Oryctolagus cuniculus: one gene and its partner. The protein of the gene in region 1 interacts with the protein of each later gene in a biochemical or structural test. Links are inferred from orthologs where the notes say so. Each region holds a gene or a part of one and is shown in the gene's direction. Other genes may lie near its edges.

The links. The genes of interacting proteins can lie anywhere in the genome.
Region 2: the proteins of PEX5 (region 1) and PEX12 form a complex in vitro, tested with the Homo sapiens proteins (2 studies listed by BioGRID). The link is inferred for Oryctolagus cuniculus from reciprocal best matches to the Homo sapiens genes PEX5 and PEX12.

The regions. Positions count from the first base shown.
Region 1 is NC_091440.1:102,353,512-102,362,149, reverse strand, and holds the end of PEX5 (peroxisomal biogenesis factor 5), read left to right. Parts: intron 1-3,504; coding exon 3,505-3,648; intron 3,649-3,791; coding exon 3,792-3,862; intron 3,863-4,208; coding exon 4,209-4,421; intron 4,422-4,724; coding exon 4,725-4,890; intron 4,891-5,225; coding exon 5,226-5,383; intron 5,384-5,549; coding exon 5,550-5,751; 3' UTR 5,752-5,770; exon of another isoform or gene 5,771-6,704; 3' UTR 6,705-6,962; downstream 6,963-8,638.
Region 2 is NC_091448.1:39,035,878-39,046,215, forward strand, and holds PEX12 (peroxisome assembly protein 12), read left to right. Parts: upstream 1-4,418; 5' UTR 4,419-5,025; coding exon 5,026-5,151; intron 5,152-5,474; coding exon 5,475-6,028; intron 6,029-7,066; coding exon 7,067-7,466; 3' UTR 7,467-8,297; downstream 8,298-10,338. UniProt on the Homo sapiens protein: Component of a retrotranslocation channel required for peroxisome organization by mediating export of the PEX5 receptor from peroxisomes to the cytosol, thereby promoting PEX5 recycling.

The DNA.
Region 1 (8,638 bases):
GAAGTGGAACAGCTGGAACTTGAACTGGCACCCATATGGGATGCTGGCACTGCAGGTGGCAGCTTTACCCACTACACCACAGCGCCGGCCCAAGGAATATAGTTATTCTTCCCACCATACCCGTCCTCCCACCCTTCTTCCTCCTCCCCCTCCCCTTCCCGGTCCCATTCTCCACTAAGATTCATTTTCAGTTAACTTTGTAGCATTCACTCCTTTTTAATTCTATCTATTATTTTTACCAGACCCTTAATCTTATCCATATGATCATTTTAACAATTAAGATGGTATTTTTACCACCCAGCTTAAGGGTCTTTGGGGTTCCATGGCAAGTTTTTAAATTGTACCTTTAGAAGTAAGTCCTTAGGAATGCATGCAGAACTATACAGCTTTACAGTTGCAAACTTCATACACTTCCTAATTACAACTTTAGGAACATGGTGATTCTTCCCACCATGCCCACCCTCTCACCCATACTCCCAAACCCTCCTCCTCCTCTCTCTCTTATTCCCACTCTTATTTTTTACTGAGATCTATTTTCAATTGACTTTATACACACGTTTAACTTTAATTAAAGAGTTCAACAAATAGTATAAAAAAACCCAAAATTGTTCCTCAACAGTCAAAACAAAATGGCTGTTCTAGCTATTGCTTCTCAAAGTGTCAATTTCATGTATACAGTTTGCCTTTTAGGTGCTCTATTAGTTACCACAGGTCAGAGAGAACATGTGATCTTTGTCCCTGGCTTATTTCACTAAGCATGATGTTTTCCAGATTCATCCACTTTATTGTAGATGTCTGATTTTCATTTTTTTTTATTTTTCATTTTTTTAACCACTGTGTAGTATTCCATAGTGACATATCCCATGATTTCTTTATCCAGTCTTCATTTACTGACAGTTTGGTAAGCTTCATAGAGCTCATTGACTTTGTGGCAAGTTGTACCTTTTACATAAAAATGTCCATGCTGTTGATAAACGTAGACAAAATGTTAATTTCGTATACACAGCATTTCCTGTTATTTACTGGTATTACAGTTACATTTATGACATGCAGAATAATTTTTAGTTAAAAATTATGTTTGTAGATTCTTAAACCCTGTTTGAGGTTATGCCTTAGAATAGTTAGGATTAGAAACATTAATTGCATTAATTTTCCATAAAAAATGCTATCCTTTCTATTGGCTTTACACTAAATAATACTAGTTATATGTCAATACTTTCAAAAAGTGTGGATCTCATACTTGATCATGTTAGTAGCTCTGAAAGGCAGGAATTACGTTCCTTAGGAAATTATGTTGTAGATGACAGTAATCTGTCTCTTTCAGCGTGGTTTAATGCATGGATTAATGCTGGGCAGTAGATGAGGTAGAATGATCTATTTATTTTATTTACTTTTTATTAAGATTTCTTTATTTATTTGAAAGAGTTACAGAGAGGGAGAGATCTTCTATCTGGTGGTTTACTCCCTGGATGCAGTGGCAGGGCTGGGCCAGACCAAAAGCAGGAGCCAGGAGCTTCACCTAGGTCTCCCAAGTGGGTGGCAGGGACCCAAACACTTGGGCCATCTTCTGTTGCTTTTCTCAGGTCATTAGTGGGGAGCTCTATCAGAAGTGGAGCAGCCGGGACAAGAACCGGCACCCTTATGAGATGCCAGCATCGCAGGCGGCGGTTTTACCCACTGAGCCACAGTGCTGCCCCAGGATTGATGTTACTGATTCTCATAAAGGGTTGGCAGTCTTTGGCCTTTGGAGTAAATCTGCTTGATACTTCATTCTGTATGGCCATTAGCTGAGAATGATTTTAAATGGTTGAAAAAAGCAATATTTTGTGTCACATGAAAATTATGAAATTCACATTTCAGTGTCCATAAAGTTTGGTTGGAACGCAGCCATGCTTATTTGGTTACGTGCTGTCTGGTGCACGCGTGCTGTGACGCTTGAGTTGAGTAGTTGCGGCAGACCTGCGAAGCAGGTCTTTTTATAGAAAAAGTTTGCTGATCCGTGGAGTAGGTTCGTTTTCTGCCTTCCGAGTTTTTAAACTGCACAGAGATGTCTCAAGAACCTGACTGTTTTTCACGAGTATACTGTTTATAAAATGCTTAGCTCAGATCTGTCTCCTATAATGTATCTCTCTCCCTTCCTATACTCCCAGGGTAGCTGTCCAGTTTTCCTTTGTGACAAACAATTTACTTCTGAGAGTTTAGAGTGTTGCTGATGGGGTGTGTTTCTGATTCTTTACATTTCACAATAAAAATGAAAAAGGCCTTGTTTATTCTTTTTTTTTAAGGTTTATTTATTTATTTGAAAGGCAGGGTGACAGAGAGGCAGAGGCAGAGATAGAGAGAGGTCTTCCATCTGCTGGTTCACTCCTCAAATGGCTGCAACGGCCGGAGCTGCGCCAATCCGAAGCCAGGAACCAGGAGCTTCTTTAGGTACAGGGTCCCAGGGACTAGGGCCATCTTCTGCTGCTTTCCCAGGCCATAACAGAGAGCTGGATCAGAAGTGGACCAGCCAGGACTCAAATTGGTGCCCACATGGGATGCTGGCACTGCAGATGGCGGCTTTACCCACTGCGCCACAGCCCTGGCCCCAGGCCTCGTTTATTCTAATTTGTCCTTACCAGACTTAGAAATATTTTATATCTTGTGGTATATTGCTTTGTGATGGAATTTATTTACTCATTGCAAAAGGAACATTTTATTTACTTGTCCCAAGACATAGGGCTTCCTAGTGATTTGCGTCTTACCTTATTACCCCCCTTGCTGAAGTGCCAGCCGACGAAACTCTTGGCGTCATAACTCTTCTCTTGAATGACAGATCCTCAGCTGGGAGAGGACAGTGTCTTGTAGACGTGTTTTGGGAGCGAGTTCTGACTTCTGTTCAGGTCACAGATTAATATTCAGAATTATTAAAAATGAAATTGGCGGGAGAAAAGAATGCAATTGGAATAAGTTAAGGTTTTTGAAGTGCTTGTATGCATCTTAGTGCACACAGTGACCCCAGGGAGCCAGGTAGAGTTGCATTTGAATTTCAGAGCTTCTGACTCCAAATTTCATTTCCTTTTTATGTTATCGCATTATTTAGGAATAACGAGAAGTGCGCTTAGAACAGCTAAGGAGGGTTTATCTCATTCCTTTCAACAGGTCCTACTAAGAAACCTGTTCTGCCGTAGAGTAAAAAGTCAGCGAACGAGGTAGCACTGTGGGCGCCTGAGGACTTCCTAATGACAGGCCTGCTGCCAGTGTGGAGCAGTCTGTAGGCTTGCCTGGCAGCCGGTTACTGTGAGCGGGAGTTGGCAGCCCGGGTGTGAGGCTGAGTGGTCTTTCTGTCGTCCTGGGTGGTCTTTGTGAGACCAGCACAGAGACTCTGCCAGCCTTTGGTTCTGGTCCCTGCGTGGAAGCCTCCGCCTTTTCCAGCTCTGCCCTGGTTGTCGTCCTTGCGTGCCTGCTGCCGTGGTCCGGGTGGCTCCCTCTCAGACCATTTCCCATGTGCTTGCTTCCCTGCAGGGGTACCAGTTTGAGGAAGAGAACCCCCTGCGCGACCACCCTCAGCCTTTTGAAGAAGGGCTGCGGCGGCTTCAGGAAGGGGACCTGCCGAATGCCGTGCTGCTCTTCGAGGCCGCTGTGCAGCAGGACCCTAAGCACATGGAAGTGGGTGGCTCACCCCGAGTTCAGACAGGACTTCTCAGGGCGGCCCCAGAGTGCACATGGGGCAGGATGGGGGTTAGGGGGAGATGGGGAGGGACGAGGGACAGCAGACCAGAAGGGTGATGGAGCTGACAACTTCCCTGCAGGCGTGGCAGTATCTGGGCACCACCCAGGCAGAGAACGAGCAAGAACTCCTCGCCATCAGCGCGCTGCGGAGGTGAGTGCGCAGAGGGTGGGAGCGAGGTGGTTCTGGGCTCTGCAGGTGGTCTCCAAGGTGCCGGGAGCGCAGGCCTGGCCCCTGTGTCCCTGGCTGATGGCGAGAGTGTTTCCTCAGCACTGAGGCCCAGAGTGCGGCTTCTGGGGTTCCCTCGCTGCTAGAGCGCTGCGTTTCTTAGACCTGTAAGTGACTAGCTCTCACGGCGGAAGGTTTCTGTGTCTTAATCTGAGGAGCCTGGGCAGGTGAAGCCGTCGTGACTGCATTTCGAAATCTGGCTTGGATCCCAGACTGCTGCTGGGTGCCGGTGTCATTGCAGGTACCAAGTGTGCTCATCTCTGCCCAACAGGTGCCTGGAGCTAAAGCCAGACAACCGGACAGCACTGATGGCGCTAGCCGTGAGCTTCACCAACGAGTCCCTCCAGCGCCAGGCCTGTGAGACCCTGCGGGACTGGCTGCGCTACACCCCAGCCTATGCACATCTGGTAGCGCCTGGTGAAGAAGGGGCTGGCGGGGCAGGACTGGGTCCCAGCAAGCGCCTCCTGGGATCTCTGTTGTCTGAGTGAGTGTGAGGGCTTCCTGGCACGGTTAATTACTGGAAACTGGGCCTCAGGAGGAAGGTGGCCTTGATTTTGGAAGTTTGGACAGACTGGGACTCAAGGGTCTAGGAGGGGGAAGGGAGGCCCAGGTCTGCGTGTACCCAGTGCACTGCTGGGATGAAACAGGAAGATGGGCTTCTAAGTTGGGGTTTGTGAGTAGCAGGGAGGGCTGATACGTTGATGAATTCTGGGGCTGTGATTGACTAATTTTTAGGAGCTGTTTGGGGACTGACATTGTTTTGGGGTGTGTGTGCTTCCTCATCTAGCTCCCTATTTCTTGAAGTGAAAGAGCTCTTCCTGGCAGCTGTGCGCCTGGACCCGACGTCCATCGACCCTGACGTGCAGTGTGGCCTGGGAGTCCTCTTCAACCTGAGTGGGGAGTATGACAAGGCCGTGGACTGCTTCACAGCCGCCCTCAGCGTGCGTCCTGATGTGAGCCTCAGGCCAGGGGTGGGGATGGGATGTGACCCTGTATCTTACTGGAGGACCATTTGTTGTGCATTTTGGAGTCACAAGATAATTATGGGCCAGCATTGCATGCACTGCCTGCCTTGGGAGGGTTCGGAAGGAAGGGTGGGGGTGCAGAGTCATCTGGGCATAGGGAGTCTGCCTGGGGAGGGAGAGGTTACGAGGTTACACTGTGGCCACAGTGAGGAAGCACGATGGGATAGTCACATGTGCTAGCTAAACAGAGCAGGTGGAGGAATGGGCAGAATTTGATCTCACACTAGTTGTATGTTCCCAACCCCTTCTCCCTCCTTTCCCAGGACTACTTGCTGTGGAATAAGCTAGGGGCCACCCTGGCCAATGGGAACCAGAGTGAAGAAGCCGTGGCTGCGTACCGCCGTGCCCTGGAACTGCAGCCGGGCTATATCCGGTCCCGCTATAACCTGGGCATCAGCTGCATCAATCTTGGGGCTCACCGGTGAGAGTACCTCTGGAGTAATGGATGAACGCACTGTTTCTCCTGCCTTGGCCCTAGCCCCTCGTCCTCTGATCCTAACTAGCCTCGCAGCCTTCTGTCTCCCAAGACTACCTGACCTGCCTGCTTCCATTGTGCTCACAAGCGGTCATTCCTCCTTTCCCCACAGGGAGGCAGTGGAACACTTTCTGGAGGCCCTGAACATGCAGAGGAAAAGCCGAGGCCCTCGAGGTGAAGGGGGTGCCATGTCCGAGAACATCTGGAGCACCCTGCGTTTGGCGTTGTCCATGTTGGGCCAGAGTGACGCCTACGGGGCGGCTGATGCCCGGGACCTGCCTGCCCTCCTAGCTATGTTTGGCCTGCCCCAGTGACAGTGGGATGGGCTGCCCTGTGAGTGTCTGCTGGAGGGGTCCCCGCTCGGGATGTGACTCCCTCCCCCCAAATGGGCCTACCGAGGGGGTGGGCTGATGATCGCTGGCGGGACAGCCTCTCAGGAGCTGCCTCAGAGCAGGGGTGCAGAGTCCACGTGTCGTTCCTGCGTAATCGTGGGAAAAGGAACTGTGTTGTCTCTGAGTCCTTTGGTGATTCAGGGACTGCACGTTCAGCCCCAGGTCTCTCTCTGCTCACCGTGCCCTCTCCTGGTGCTGCTTTTTGGGTAGGACCCGATGGCTGTCACCAGCCACCGTGTCTGTGGGGTCCACCACATTTGTCATGTCTGTCCTTTCCCCCGCTTTGTTGGAAGTTGGTAACAGTCCAGCCTTCCTGGGCAATTGTGTGTGGGCAGTTCTTCATCGTGCATCTCTGACGTCGACTCCGGGATGGGATGTTAGCAGCTGGCTGAGGAGAGTGGAGTTGTGTTAGGGGCACACAGAGTTCTGTCATTCTTGGACCTCATGGCTGTGAGTTAGATCGCCTGATAGGATGCTGCTGCAGTAATGCTGGGGGAGTTCCCGTGGGCTCCTCTGGAGCTGCTGGGTCAGTTGCTACAGAGAGCGTTTGGGTGTGGGATAGGAGGAAGGCTCATTTTGGGGACGAGCCTATAGGGGACTGATGGGATCAGATCAGGGACTCCGTCCTGGAGCCTTTGGTGGGAGGACGGAGCGAGTGGGATGAGGAGCGTGGTGAATGCAGCAGTCCCTCTTAGGAAGAACTGTGAGTAGGAATCAGGCCAACTCTTCTAGAAAGTTGGTTCAGAAATTGTAATCTTGCCAAATTCCTAGCAGAGAGGGGGTTCAGTATTACCATAAGCCTTTGCTATACTTCTTGAAATATTTCCAGGGGGAGAGGGTTGACAAGCCCCCTCCCCTCATGTTACCTCCACAAGGTGAAGATGGAGGGAAGCCGAGGTAGCCTGGATTCTTGTCACCCGGCCCTGCGTGGGGAGACGCATGACCACTGGCAGTGACTGCGAAGCCTCCTGCCGCCTTGTCTTCAGTAGCTAATGATCAGAGAGATTTTTTTTAAACTACCATGGGCCCCAGGTTCCATCTGAAATTTATTTTTCTTTGTATGAATATGTGTAAATGATTTAAAAATAAAACTGTAAAATATTTGTATGAAGAATAAATGGAACTAATGTGGATATGAATTCTGCTGAAGTTGGTGGTGGGAAGTGGGTTGGTCTTCATCTTTCCAGTTCTCATTGGCATGTTGATCACCCATCCATCTACCCAGCAATTACTGAGCACCTAACGTGTGCGGGTACGACGGGTAAGACGGACAAGGACACTGTGCTCCTGGAGCCTCGGGCTTGGCAGGAGACACAGATGTTTGCGGATGGTGAAGTTTTACACTTGAGTTCCCCCTGCAAAGGAGACTCCACAGAGCTGTCTCATCATTGGGTTGTTTTCTGTTATGATTATGTGCGTTGGTTTTGATAGTTTGTTTCCAGTGTTCAGGCTTCTAAAGGTTTCACTGGGCTTTGCCTGTCTTGTCAGGAATTATATAAAGAGCCTTCGCAACATGGAAATCTATTCCAAGGAAAACATTTAAACTGCAAGCAAATATTTATGTGTTTATCAGTATGAATATTTTGGAGATAGGTGTCCATGGCCACATCAGAATAGGAAAAAAAGAAAACTCAGAACTGGGTCAGCAAATTATCCAGATAGCAGATAAAATAGCTGCTGATATTTAGGGGACAGTTCCCAGTGACAGTAGATGCTAACTTCAATGAGGGGAAAAGGTTAGCAAACTGCTTAAGGTTACCTTGCAAACCATGTGTTGAAAAGGCAGAAGGAGTATTCCTGGTATAGTAAGCGTGTGACAGTTAGGTGTGAATTTCCCGTCATAGTTCTGGGTAATTTCCGAGTTTTCTTAGCGCATGTGTAGTGGTTTCGTGGCGGCCGTGACCCCAGGGCAGTGGGGTCCTGGGCTCCGCAGAGTGGTGGAGCATGGCCACTGGCCTGGGAGTGAGGCAGCAGGCGCAGGGCGTGGGCTCCACGCCACACACACAGGAAGGGGCGAAGTCTGGCTGAATAAATGGCTTATGAGGGCCTGCGTGGCATGGTGGGTAGATCTGCTGCCTGCAGTGCCGGCGTCCCATGTGGGCTTCGGTTCAAGCTGCTCCACATCTGATCGAAGTCCATACTAATGGCCTGGGAAGAGCATCACATTGGAAGAGACTAAGACCTTGGGCCCCTGTACCCACAAGGAAGACCTGAATGAAGCTCCTGGCTCCTGGCCCAGCCCAGCTCCAATGTTGGGACCATTTGAGGGAGTGAACCAGTAGATGGAAGCTGTCTCACTCTGTAACTCTTTCAAGTAAGTAAATTAAATCTTAAAAAAAGGGGGGGGGGGCACAGCGAGTTAACACACTAGCCTGAAGCACTGGCATCCCATATGGGTGTGGTTCAAGGGCTGCTCCACTTCCATCCAGCTCTCTGCTATGGCCTGGGAAAGCAGTAGAAGATGGCCCAAGCCCTTGGGCCCCTGCATCCACGTGGGATACTGGGAAGACGCTCACGGCTCCTGGCTTCAGATCCGTGCAGTGCTGACCGTTGCGGCCAGTTGGGTAATGAACCATCAGATGGAAGACTCCTCCCTCCCTCTTTCCCTCCCTCTGCCTTTCCTCTCTCCGTGTAACTCTGACTTTCAAATAAATAAATAAATGTTTTAAAAAAAAATGCGTAAGAACCGAGTTTGCACCTGGTTTAAGGCACAGCTCCGGGTTCACATGCCTCACCTGCTCTCGGTAGCATGAAAGTGCCCAGGAGGATGCTTTTTTTGCACAACCAGTGCCTGGTACATATTTGGAAC
Region 2 (10,338 bases), on another chromosome or scaffold:
TGAGAGAAATATAAGTATGTACAACTATAACAGTGGTTCTATCTGCTTGGTGGTTTACAAAGTTATTTTCTTTATATTTCCTTGGATTTCCCACATCTTTCTGTAAGAAGTGTATGTGTCTTAAGAAAGTATGAATACGTGCTGTTTTCAAAATTCACCATCATTCCAAAAGCTTTTCAGATCTCATCTTTCTCCACTTTTTGGTGAAAGTATTGGTTGATCTCCCCCTTTTGTGACTGTTCACCTCCTGGGTACTTCTACCCATCTCTGTCTTCTCCCACTCCACTATTAATTCAACAAATATTTATGGAAGGCTACTTTGGTCAGGAACTGTACAAGAGATCCAACTCTATTTAAATAAAGCAGGCTCACCAGGGAGATCAGCTACAGGATGGTGGTGGCTTAAATATCAATCTAGGGAATATTTATTGAGCATTTGTTACCTATCAGCTGTTCTAAGGACTTCAGTGTATGTTTAAATCCTCACAACTTGATAACCAGGTAGTTATTACTGCCCCTGTTTTACAGAGATCCAGGAAGGTTGCATGGCAGAATTAAGATTCGAACCCAGGAAGTCTGACACTAGGAATATAATGTCCATTCTGGGTTTGGTCAAGGATTGAATTGTGGCTCTAGTCACTGAAAATAGATGCCGCAGGTTTGAGGAATGATAGGGAAGTGATGAGTTCGGGTGAAGATGTCTGAGTGGTAAAAAACTGAGGAATAATCCAAGAGGTAGAAGGAAAAGCAGGAGGCTATGATGTTGTAGGATGTTTTCAGGGTTTCATGAAAGTAGAATATAAACCAATCTGTTCACTCTTGTATCCCTGAGGCCTAGCCTCCCCCAGAAATGTATGTTAGTATATGTGGAATAAATATATTTAGGAATAAGTGGTCAACAATATCAGTTGCTATAATGAGAAGGAAGGGCTGAAAAGTGACCACAGTATTCAACAACACTGTGTTAGAAATTATTGCTGTGATCACTAGAGCTGGGAAAACATAAGCCATGCTGTAGAAGTTTGATGATGAATTGGAGATGAGGAATAAAGAGTTATGGATAATGCCTAAGAAAGCATGAATGAAGAGGGAAGATATATAGGAAGGTATCTGAGAGGGTAGCGTGGCAATGGCAGCCCATATCAGAGTGCTAGTTTGAGTCCTAGCTGCCCAACTTCAGATCCTGCTTCCTGCTAATGCACCTACAAAGGAAGCTTAAGATGACCCAAGTGCTTGGGCCCTCGCCACTCACGTGAAAGACCCAGACGGTGTTCCTGGCTGTTGGCTCCAGCCCAGCCTGGCCCAGTCCTGGCTGTTGTTTTAGCCATCTGGGAAGTGAACCAGTGGATGGGAGATTCTCTCTCTCCCTCTCACTCTGTTGCTCTGCCTTTCAAATAAATATATATTTTTAAAATGGGTGGCATTTGAGGGAGAGAATGGCAATGATATTTTGTAGTTCTACAGTCATACATTTTCACACTAACCCTTTAGCAATACCATGGGTTTAACTATTTTAAGACTGATTTTATTTTCTTTGAAAGGCAGAGTTGGAGAGAGGAACAGATGGAGAAAGAGAGAGAGAGAGAGAGAGAGAGAGAGAGAATTCCAGCCCAGCCACTGATTCAACTTCCCAAAAGGCTGCAATGGTCCAGGCTGGGCCAGACCAAAGCCAGGATCCAAGAACTTCTTCCTGGTCTCCCATATGGGTGCAGGGGCCTAAGCACTTGGTCCATCTTCTGCTGCTTTCCCACACACAATTAGCAGCTTCTGGATCAGAAGTGGAGCAGCTAAGAATTGAACTGGTACCCATATGGGATGCCAGGAGGCAGCATTACTCCTCTGCCACAACACCAGCCCTTAACTATCTTTTGTACTCATATAACTAACTGTATCCTTGATCTATCCCCAAACTTCATCACTCAATTATTAACCACACCAACTGTTAATTCTATATTTACGACCTACTAAAATTAAACAAATCATAAGTGGGTGGAGAATGTTAGAAAAAATTGGTTCCAGGTATAACTCTCAGCAGAAAGAGGTGGATTTCATAAAGATGTCACCAGAAAAAAAAAATGTTTAAAATTGAGGGGCCCAGCACTGAACATAATGGTTGGCACACAGAAGGTCCTCGATAGATACTGAATAGGTGGATGAGTGTGCACAGATAAGGTCTAAAATTAGCATCTAAGCCCTCTAAAACTACCTGAATCTACTTCTCAGCACACCTCTACTAGTCCTATTGCTTTATGTTTTAAGAAAACAAATTTCCTCTCTATACTCACTCTCTGCTACTCCCTTACCCTGGGAAGGCCTTCACCACTGCTGTGAATTACCCGAGATGTACTCATCCTGTGAGGCCTAACGTAGCCACTGAACTTTTTAAGTGAACATGTTATGACATGGAGTCCAGGAGATACTGGGTCACGTCATTGTATTTACCTGCCAGGGAGAAGCTGAGGTCAGAAACACTGTTCTTCCCATTGCTTGGTTACATAGGACAATATATTTGCCTTCTGTTCAACAGATTTAGAACTGCCTTATTTTTCCCAGTTGGTAGATATTTCTTCTCCAAACTCATGCCAAATTAATATATCTCACGGCTCTTGCTGCCTTTTAACCTGAGGGCAGTCACTTTTTGAGCATCTTATCTCCTTTACACTACAGAGAATAGGATCCTTCATGAGGTTTGTTGACTAATACTGGACATATTCCTTTAAATGCCTCTTCTCATGTAATAACGTGTTTACTTTTGGGGTAGCCTCCACTATGAATAAACATGCCTTGCCCTCCTCTGGGTGAGTGTGGCTGTAGAAAGAAAACGTGAATCTAGATACTGGTTCACTGGAATTTGAGTGATGAGCACAATGACAAACAAAAATTGGCTGAACAGCATTCGTGAGAACATGAGAGACAGGTCTCATCCTCCACGGTTGAATGACACAGCTCTGGTAATTCCTGCTAAAGAAAAAGGACGCTACAGATCCTCTTCTGTCAGGGATGGCCTTTCTTATTTCCTGAGCTACTTCATAAACTCCTAAAAAAAACTTTGTATTTAAATTAGCCTTTTTGTTACTATATGTAGCTAATTTCCTTTTTTTTTTTTTTTTTTTTGACAGGCAGAGTAGACAGTGAGAGAGAGAGAGGAGGAAGGTCTTCCTCTTCCGTTGGTTCACCCCCAAGGCCGCCACACCACGCTGATCCGAAGCCAGGAGCCAGGTGCTTCTCCTAGTCTCCCATGGGGTACAGGGCCCAAGTACTTGGGCCATCCTCCACTGCACTCCCTGGCCACAGCAGAGAGCTGAACCTTAAGAGGAGCAACGGGGACAGAACCGGCGCCCCGACCGGGACTAGAACCCAGTGTGCCGGCGCCACAGGCAGAGGATTAGCCTATTGAGCCGTGGCACCGGCCTAATTCCCCACTTTTTAATTGATGCTATTCCTCTTTTGTATTTTTCCTGTTTGGTAAGTCTGTATATAATATAAATCATGATCCCATGTGTGTCTTTGACAGGTATTTTGGTAGAGTAAAAAGATACATGTTAAAACTACCATTAAGAGCAATGTGCATGAATTATTTCTCGCCTATTGAAACAAACTAAACGCAAACTCTGTATTTCAGAGTTCTCATGCAAACCAGTTTATCTTTATGCCGTGAGGTCCTTAGCGCAGTGAATAATACCTTTTATTTCTAGCTATTTAGCCCAGGGGTGGGGAAGAGGCTACACCTGAGGGGGGTGGGGCGGAGGAAAAAAAAAACATTAAAAAAATTAACGAAACTCCAGTACATCTGGAGAAAAAAAAAAACTCCAACACACCTGTACCAGCGACTCAAACGATGCAAACTTGAATGGGCTTTGTAGTTTGCAGTCGTGAGGCAGACCCGAGCTGGGTATACAGACGGAAACCCAGGCAGGTCTGTCAGCCCCGTTCGCGTCCGCGGCCAGGGTACGCTTGAATCTAACGGACACCTGGAAGCCAGTTAAGCTGCCAGCCCGCGTACAAAGCCACCGTGCCGGGCTCTGACGAACAGGCCCTTCGTCGTCCTGGTAATTTTTCTTTATAATCGCTACCGACCACGTAAGATTCCTTCTCCCGCTCTGTGGCCCCACGCCCTTAACCACCTCCGCCCAGGCGAGAGCGGAAAGCGCCGGCGCTTCTCCTGCCCCTCTCCCTGCGCCAACACCCAGCTCAGCAGCAGGTTCCGGCTCCGGGCGTGGCGCCAACCGCCTCGTCAGAAAGGCTCCAGAGAGTTCAGAGCGACGGTTTTCCACCGAAGCTACGCTGCCGACCCTGCAAGGAAGTGCAACACAGTCGACAAGTCGGCGCCCAGAAGAGTCAGCGGGCGCCTCCTTTAAAGCCAGCGAGGCGGCGGCGGAAGTGCGGCGGGGTCATAGAGTCCCCAACTTCCGGTGTCAGGGCCTCTTGCGGGCCTAGAGCGCCTCTCTTCCGCTGGGTCCCGGAGGTTTCCATTTCCGGGTGCGGCTCTGTCATAAAGCGGAGACCTCTCCTCAAGCGTGGTGTCGGGGGCTCCTCCGTGCCCGCGGTCAGCGCGCAAGGACGGCCGTGGGCGACGGTGCTTCCCAGCCCGCAGCTGGAGCCGGCCGTCGCGTCCCCGGCCCGCGTTGGCTCTCCTGATCCTTCCCAGCCAGCGAGATTTTGAGCCACCGCGATTGAGGGTCCCGGGTTCGCAGCTCCAGGACCCCGCTCGTGGACAGCGCTCCTTCGCCCGTAGCTGTCCCTCCAAATCATGTTCTGCCTTGTGGGGTGCAGCATTTGACAAGTCACCTTCTCCCCACATACCCCTTTCCACAAACCAGGTCCGAGTTAACGTCTTTCCTGACCTCAGTTTCAGACCCCTCTCCTCTGCCCCCTCTCTTCACCTCTGGGTCTATTTTCTCCAGTTCAATTTTGCCTGTAAAACTGGAGTTTGGAGTAATTACGCAGAAAGATTACCTTTAAGACTGAGCATTTGATACAAAAAGAAAAAATTTTCATGCTAACGAGAGAGTTGGTGGGGAAACCATGGCTGAGCACGGGGCGCACATCACAACTGCTTCTGTGGCCGATGACCAACCTTCCATCTTTGAGGTGGTAGCACAGGACAGTTTAATGACAGCAGTGAGACCTGCGCTTCAGCACGTGGTCAAGGTAAGGTATTCTCGGAAGGTTCTTAGGACCAGTGGGTAGAAACCAACCCAGTGAGTTGTGTTTATTTGGTAGCCTCGGGTTTGAAATAACCAATTTGCATAGAATTCATATCCTATGTCTTAGACGTTACTGAGTCACTGTTCTAGGTGAAGCTCTGTACTGAATACCTGAATACTTAGCACTTCAGGGAGGTTAGGGTGGGACCCAAATGACTTGTTTAAGCTGAAAGTGTGTAGAATTCAGAGGGGAAAAGATAATTTTAAATAAAAAGCTCAGTAGTGTGGGATGGAATTAATTTCACCTGTCCATTTACTTTGACTCAGGTTCTTGCAGAATCAAACCCTGCCTACTATGGCTTCTTGTGGCGATGGTTTGATGAGATCTTTACTCTGCTGGATCTTCTGCTTCAGCAGCACTATCTATCTAAAACCAGTGCCTCCTTTTCTGAAAACTTTTATGGCTTAAAGAGGATTGTCATGCGAGACACACACGCAGTTCAGCGGCTGGCCAGTGCTGGTCTCCCCAGGCAGCAGCTGTGGAAATCGGTCATGTTCCTGGTTCTTCTTCCATACCTGAAAGTGAAGCTGGAGAAGCTGGTTTCTAGCCTGCGAGAAGAGGATGAATATTCCATCCATCCCCCTTCTTCTCACTGGAAACGGTTTTACAGAGCCTTCCTGGCAGCCTATCCATTCGTTAACATGGCATGGGAGGGCTGGTTTCTCGTACAGCAGCTTCGCTACATCCTAGGGAAAGCTCAGCATCACTCGCCGCTGCTGCAGCTGGCTGGCGTTCGGCTAGGTCGACTGACGGTTCAGGATATTCAAGCTCTGGAGCACAAACTGGCTGAAGCCAGCAAGATCCAGCAACCGGCAAAGAGGTAAGGCCTTAACATTTCAAGAAAAGCTTTGATTAATAAATTCTAAGATTCCCAGTTTCAGGAAATTTACCACCCTGTCTCCTTTGAGTTATTTGAGAGAATCATAGAAAAGTTATTTGTCCTTAAAACAAGGACCAACATCCTGGTCACCTTTATCATACAAGGTCCATTTCTGTTAGCTCAATCCTCATCACAAACCAATGAGGTTGAGGAAACTAATCCATAACAGCTGACTACCTTGCCAATGCCACATAGCTGGAAGGTTGCAGAGCTGAGATTCAGGTGAGGGCAGTACAGGTTTTGTGTTTTTTTTTTGTTTTTTGTTTGTTTTTTGTTTTTTGTTTTTTCTTGACAGGCAGAGTGGACAGTGAGAGAGACAGAGAGAAAGGTCTTCCTTTGCCGTTGGTTCACCCTCCAGTGGCCGCCTATCCGCACCGCGCCTATCCGAAGGCAGGAGCCAGGTACTTCTCCTGGTCTCCCATGGGGTGCAGGGCCCAAGCACTTGGGCCATCCTCCACTGCACTCCCTGGCCACAGCAGAGAGCTGGCCTGGAAGAGGGGAAACCGGGACAGAATCCGGCGCCCCGACCGGGACTAGAACCCAGTGTGCCAGCGCCGCAAGGCGGAGGATTAGCCTAGTGAGCCGCGGCGCTGGCCGGCAGTACAGTTCTAACAGCTGTGTTCTTTGATGCTGTGTCACTTCTAGCTACTGTGTATTCTACATGTTTAAAGGTACACATTGCTCAGTGCTGCTGAGCTCATGTGTTAGTTGTTTCTTTTTCTGGTTGCATTATCTTCCATAGAAAAATTCTCCACTTAATTTCTTCCTCAAAACAAAACCCTGACCCTTTGTCATTAAAAACAAAGCTTAAATTCTGTACCCCTCAAACATTAAGATCAGAAAGGGATTGCTTAGGATGGATCCTTAAGGAAGTGCCAATCTCACACCTATTCAAATGCCAAACCTGTGATCACTGCATTTGTTGGTCACTCAGTGATTATGCCTAAAGTCTCTTTGCCTCTGTTCTTCTCCCAACAGCATCAGTGAGCAGATTAAGTCCACTCTAAAGAAAGCTGTGGGGGGCGTGGCCATATCCCTCTCCACTGGCCTTTCTGTGGGCGTATTTTTCCTGCAGTTCCTGGACTGGTGGTACTCATCGGAAAATCAAGAAACCATCAAATCACTGACTGCCCTGCCTACTCCACCACCCCCTGTACACCTAGACTACAACTCTGATTCCCCTCTGTTACCTAAATTGAAGACAGTGTGCCCACTGTGTCGTAAAACCCGAGTGAATGATACCGTTCTTGCCACATCTGGCTATGTGTTTTGTTACCGCTGTGTGTTTAACTATGTGAGGAGTCACCAAGCCTGTCCCATCACAGGCTATCCTACCGAAGTACAACATCTGATCAAACTGTACTCCCCTGAGAACTGAAGGGACTGAGCACCTTCCTTCCTAGGGGCTGCACTGCAAGGCCCCAGGGCTGGTTTTCAGAATGGCACATAGCACATTCTTCTCAGCCTCAACTGATAACTATGAACTTCAAACAACTGTAAGAATCTCTTTTTAAAAGGACAGACCCATTTGATCCTAACTGTTTAGTCTACTCTCTAGACCCCTACTTACAAATGACCAAGCTGGTTTAAGTAGGAGACTTGAGATTGGCAGGGGATATAAGGATAACTAGGGGAAGGTTTTTCTATCCTTTTCTAAATTAAGAGCAATAGAAGTTCTCAGGAAAAAACTCAGGTTAGACTTCATGAAGTGGGTGGTAAAAGAAAGCATTTATCTGCCTCCTGAAGTGGTGGTTTTACCAAACAATGTGAAATGTGCACCTGCTCTTCACAGAAACACTCAGAGCACTACAGAACAATGCTCCTGCTGTACACTGTGACCCAGTGACGTTTGGGACAGTTTATCAGATTTTTAAGATTCTTTTCTGAGCCATACATGTCTTTTATTGGGAAACCGGTTAAAACAGAGATTGTTTACATAAACATAGTCTGAAGATGTCAGTGTGAAAGCAAAGCTAATAAAAACATATGAAGTAAAATACTTAACTGTGTAAAGAAAGGATCTTTTAATAAGCTTTTTCTGCTTGCTATTAAGAGTTTGCTAAACTGGCATGAATTATTCTGGCTATTACTAAAACATTTAAATCAATTTTAAGAATGTTTCTAACAAAGAACTGTTCCATGTTAGCAGGATAATGTGTAAACTTAAAAGATTACTTGAGGTATTTACAATAAATTTTCATTCATACTACTGTGGCTTTTTGAGGTATTTGTGTATTGATTCAAATTTTTGCTTTTCGCTAATCCAGTAATTGGGACAGAAGGTAAGCACTGGATGCTGCAGTTGCCACACCACTTAGGATACCTTCATCCTCAGAGTGCCTGGTTTGAGTCCCAGCTCCTCCACTTCTGCTCCAGCTTCCTGCTGATATGCACCCAGGGTGGTAGCAGAGAACGACTCTGTTGGGTCCCTGCTACCCTCATGGGAGACCCAGATTGAGTTCTAGGCTCTGTGTTTCTCCTTGGCCCAAGGCAAGCTATTGTGGGCATTTGCTGAGTGAATCAGTAGTCAGAGGATCTCTTTGTCTTAATCTTTCATATAAGTAAAAAACTTTATTCCAATACTCAAAATTAAGCCTTATTATCAGAAACGCTTAAATTCCTTATATAAAAAATATGTCACTGCATTGGCAGGTTGCAGTAAACATGGGTTAAAAAAAAAAAAAAAAAAAAAACACGGGCCAGCACTGCAGCTCAATAAGCTAATCCTCCGCCTGAGGCGCTGGCACACTGGGTTCTAGTCCCGGTCGGGGCGCCAGATTCTGTCCTGGTTGCCCCTCTTCCAGGCCAGCTCTCTGCTGTGGCCAGGGAGTGCAGTGGAGGATGGCCCAAGTGCTTGGGCCCTGCACCGCAAGGGAGACCAGGAGAAGCACCTGGCTCCCAGCTTCGGATCAGTGCGGTGCGCCAGCCGTGGCGGCCATTGGAGGGTGAACCAGCGGTAAAAAGGAAGACCTTTCTCTCTGTCTCTCTCTCACTGTCCACTCTGCCTGTCAAAAAAAAAAAAAAAAAAAAAAAAAAAACCAATAGGACAATGAAAATAATTTGTCTTTGCCAAGACAGTTTTTTTAATTAATTTCAGCAATTCTGAAGACATTTTCTGATAGCACAAAGAATATAAAGCTAAATTTTGTAATGGGATATCCTACAGATTTTAAATATTAAAGCCTTTATCTACTGTAAGAGCATAATGGATTTTAAGCTTCTTGTACGGGTTTTTTTGTTAAAGATTTATTTGAAAGAGAGACAGGGAGTGTCCATCTATGGGTTCACTCTCCAAATGGCGCCAACAGCCAGGGTGGGGCCAAGCTGAAGCCAGGAGCCAGAAGCCAGATCCACGTCTCCCATGTGGGTGGCAGAGGACCAAGCACTCAAGCCATCTTCTTTTTCCAGGCCATTAGCAGGGAGTTGGATAGGAAGTGGAGCAGCCGGGACAGGAACCAGCGCCCACATAGGATGCTGGCATCTCAGGCAGCAGCTTAACCCACTGTGCCACAGAACAAAGGCCCAAACTTGAAAGGTTTATACCAAAACAAACACCAGAGTTAATTTAGCAATACATTTTTAATACAACAGTAAGTCAATAGAGAAACTGAACCAGATTCAGGATTGAAATGATGTAGTTCTCCACGAAGATTTTAGAGCCAGACTTCTCACCACAGCCTAAGGAAGGAAGAAAACATGAAAGTATCAGTAATTCAAAGGAGTGTCACAGAAACACTTTTACCATGTAATAAAACCAGTATCCAAATAGGTTAGAATACATCTGTGTGGAAATACCACAACCAGAATCAGCTCAGAGAGAAGATTAAGGGATCATACCCTGGTCAAAGCCAACTTTGAAACAGTGGCAATACCAGGTCAGACTATACTTCACTCATCATTGCGTTCGGTTCTTTGTTACCAAGCAACAGTCCAACTCACTATTTTCACATCTAAGAAAAATTCAGGGGCCGGCGCCGCGGCTTAGTAGGTTAATCCTCCACCTAGCGGCGGCGGCACACCGGGTTCTAGTCCCGGTCAGGGCACCGGATTCTGTCCCAGTTGCCCCTCTTCCAGGCCAGCTCTCTACTGTGGCCCGGAAGTGCAGTGGAGGATGGCCCAAGTGCTTGGGCCCTGCACCCCATGGGAGACCAGGGGAAGCACCTGGCTCCTGCCATCAGATCAGCACGGTGCGCCGGCCGCAGTGCGCCAGGGGCGGCGGCCATTGGAGGGTGAACCAACGGCAAAGGAAG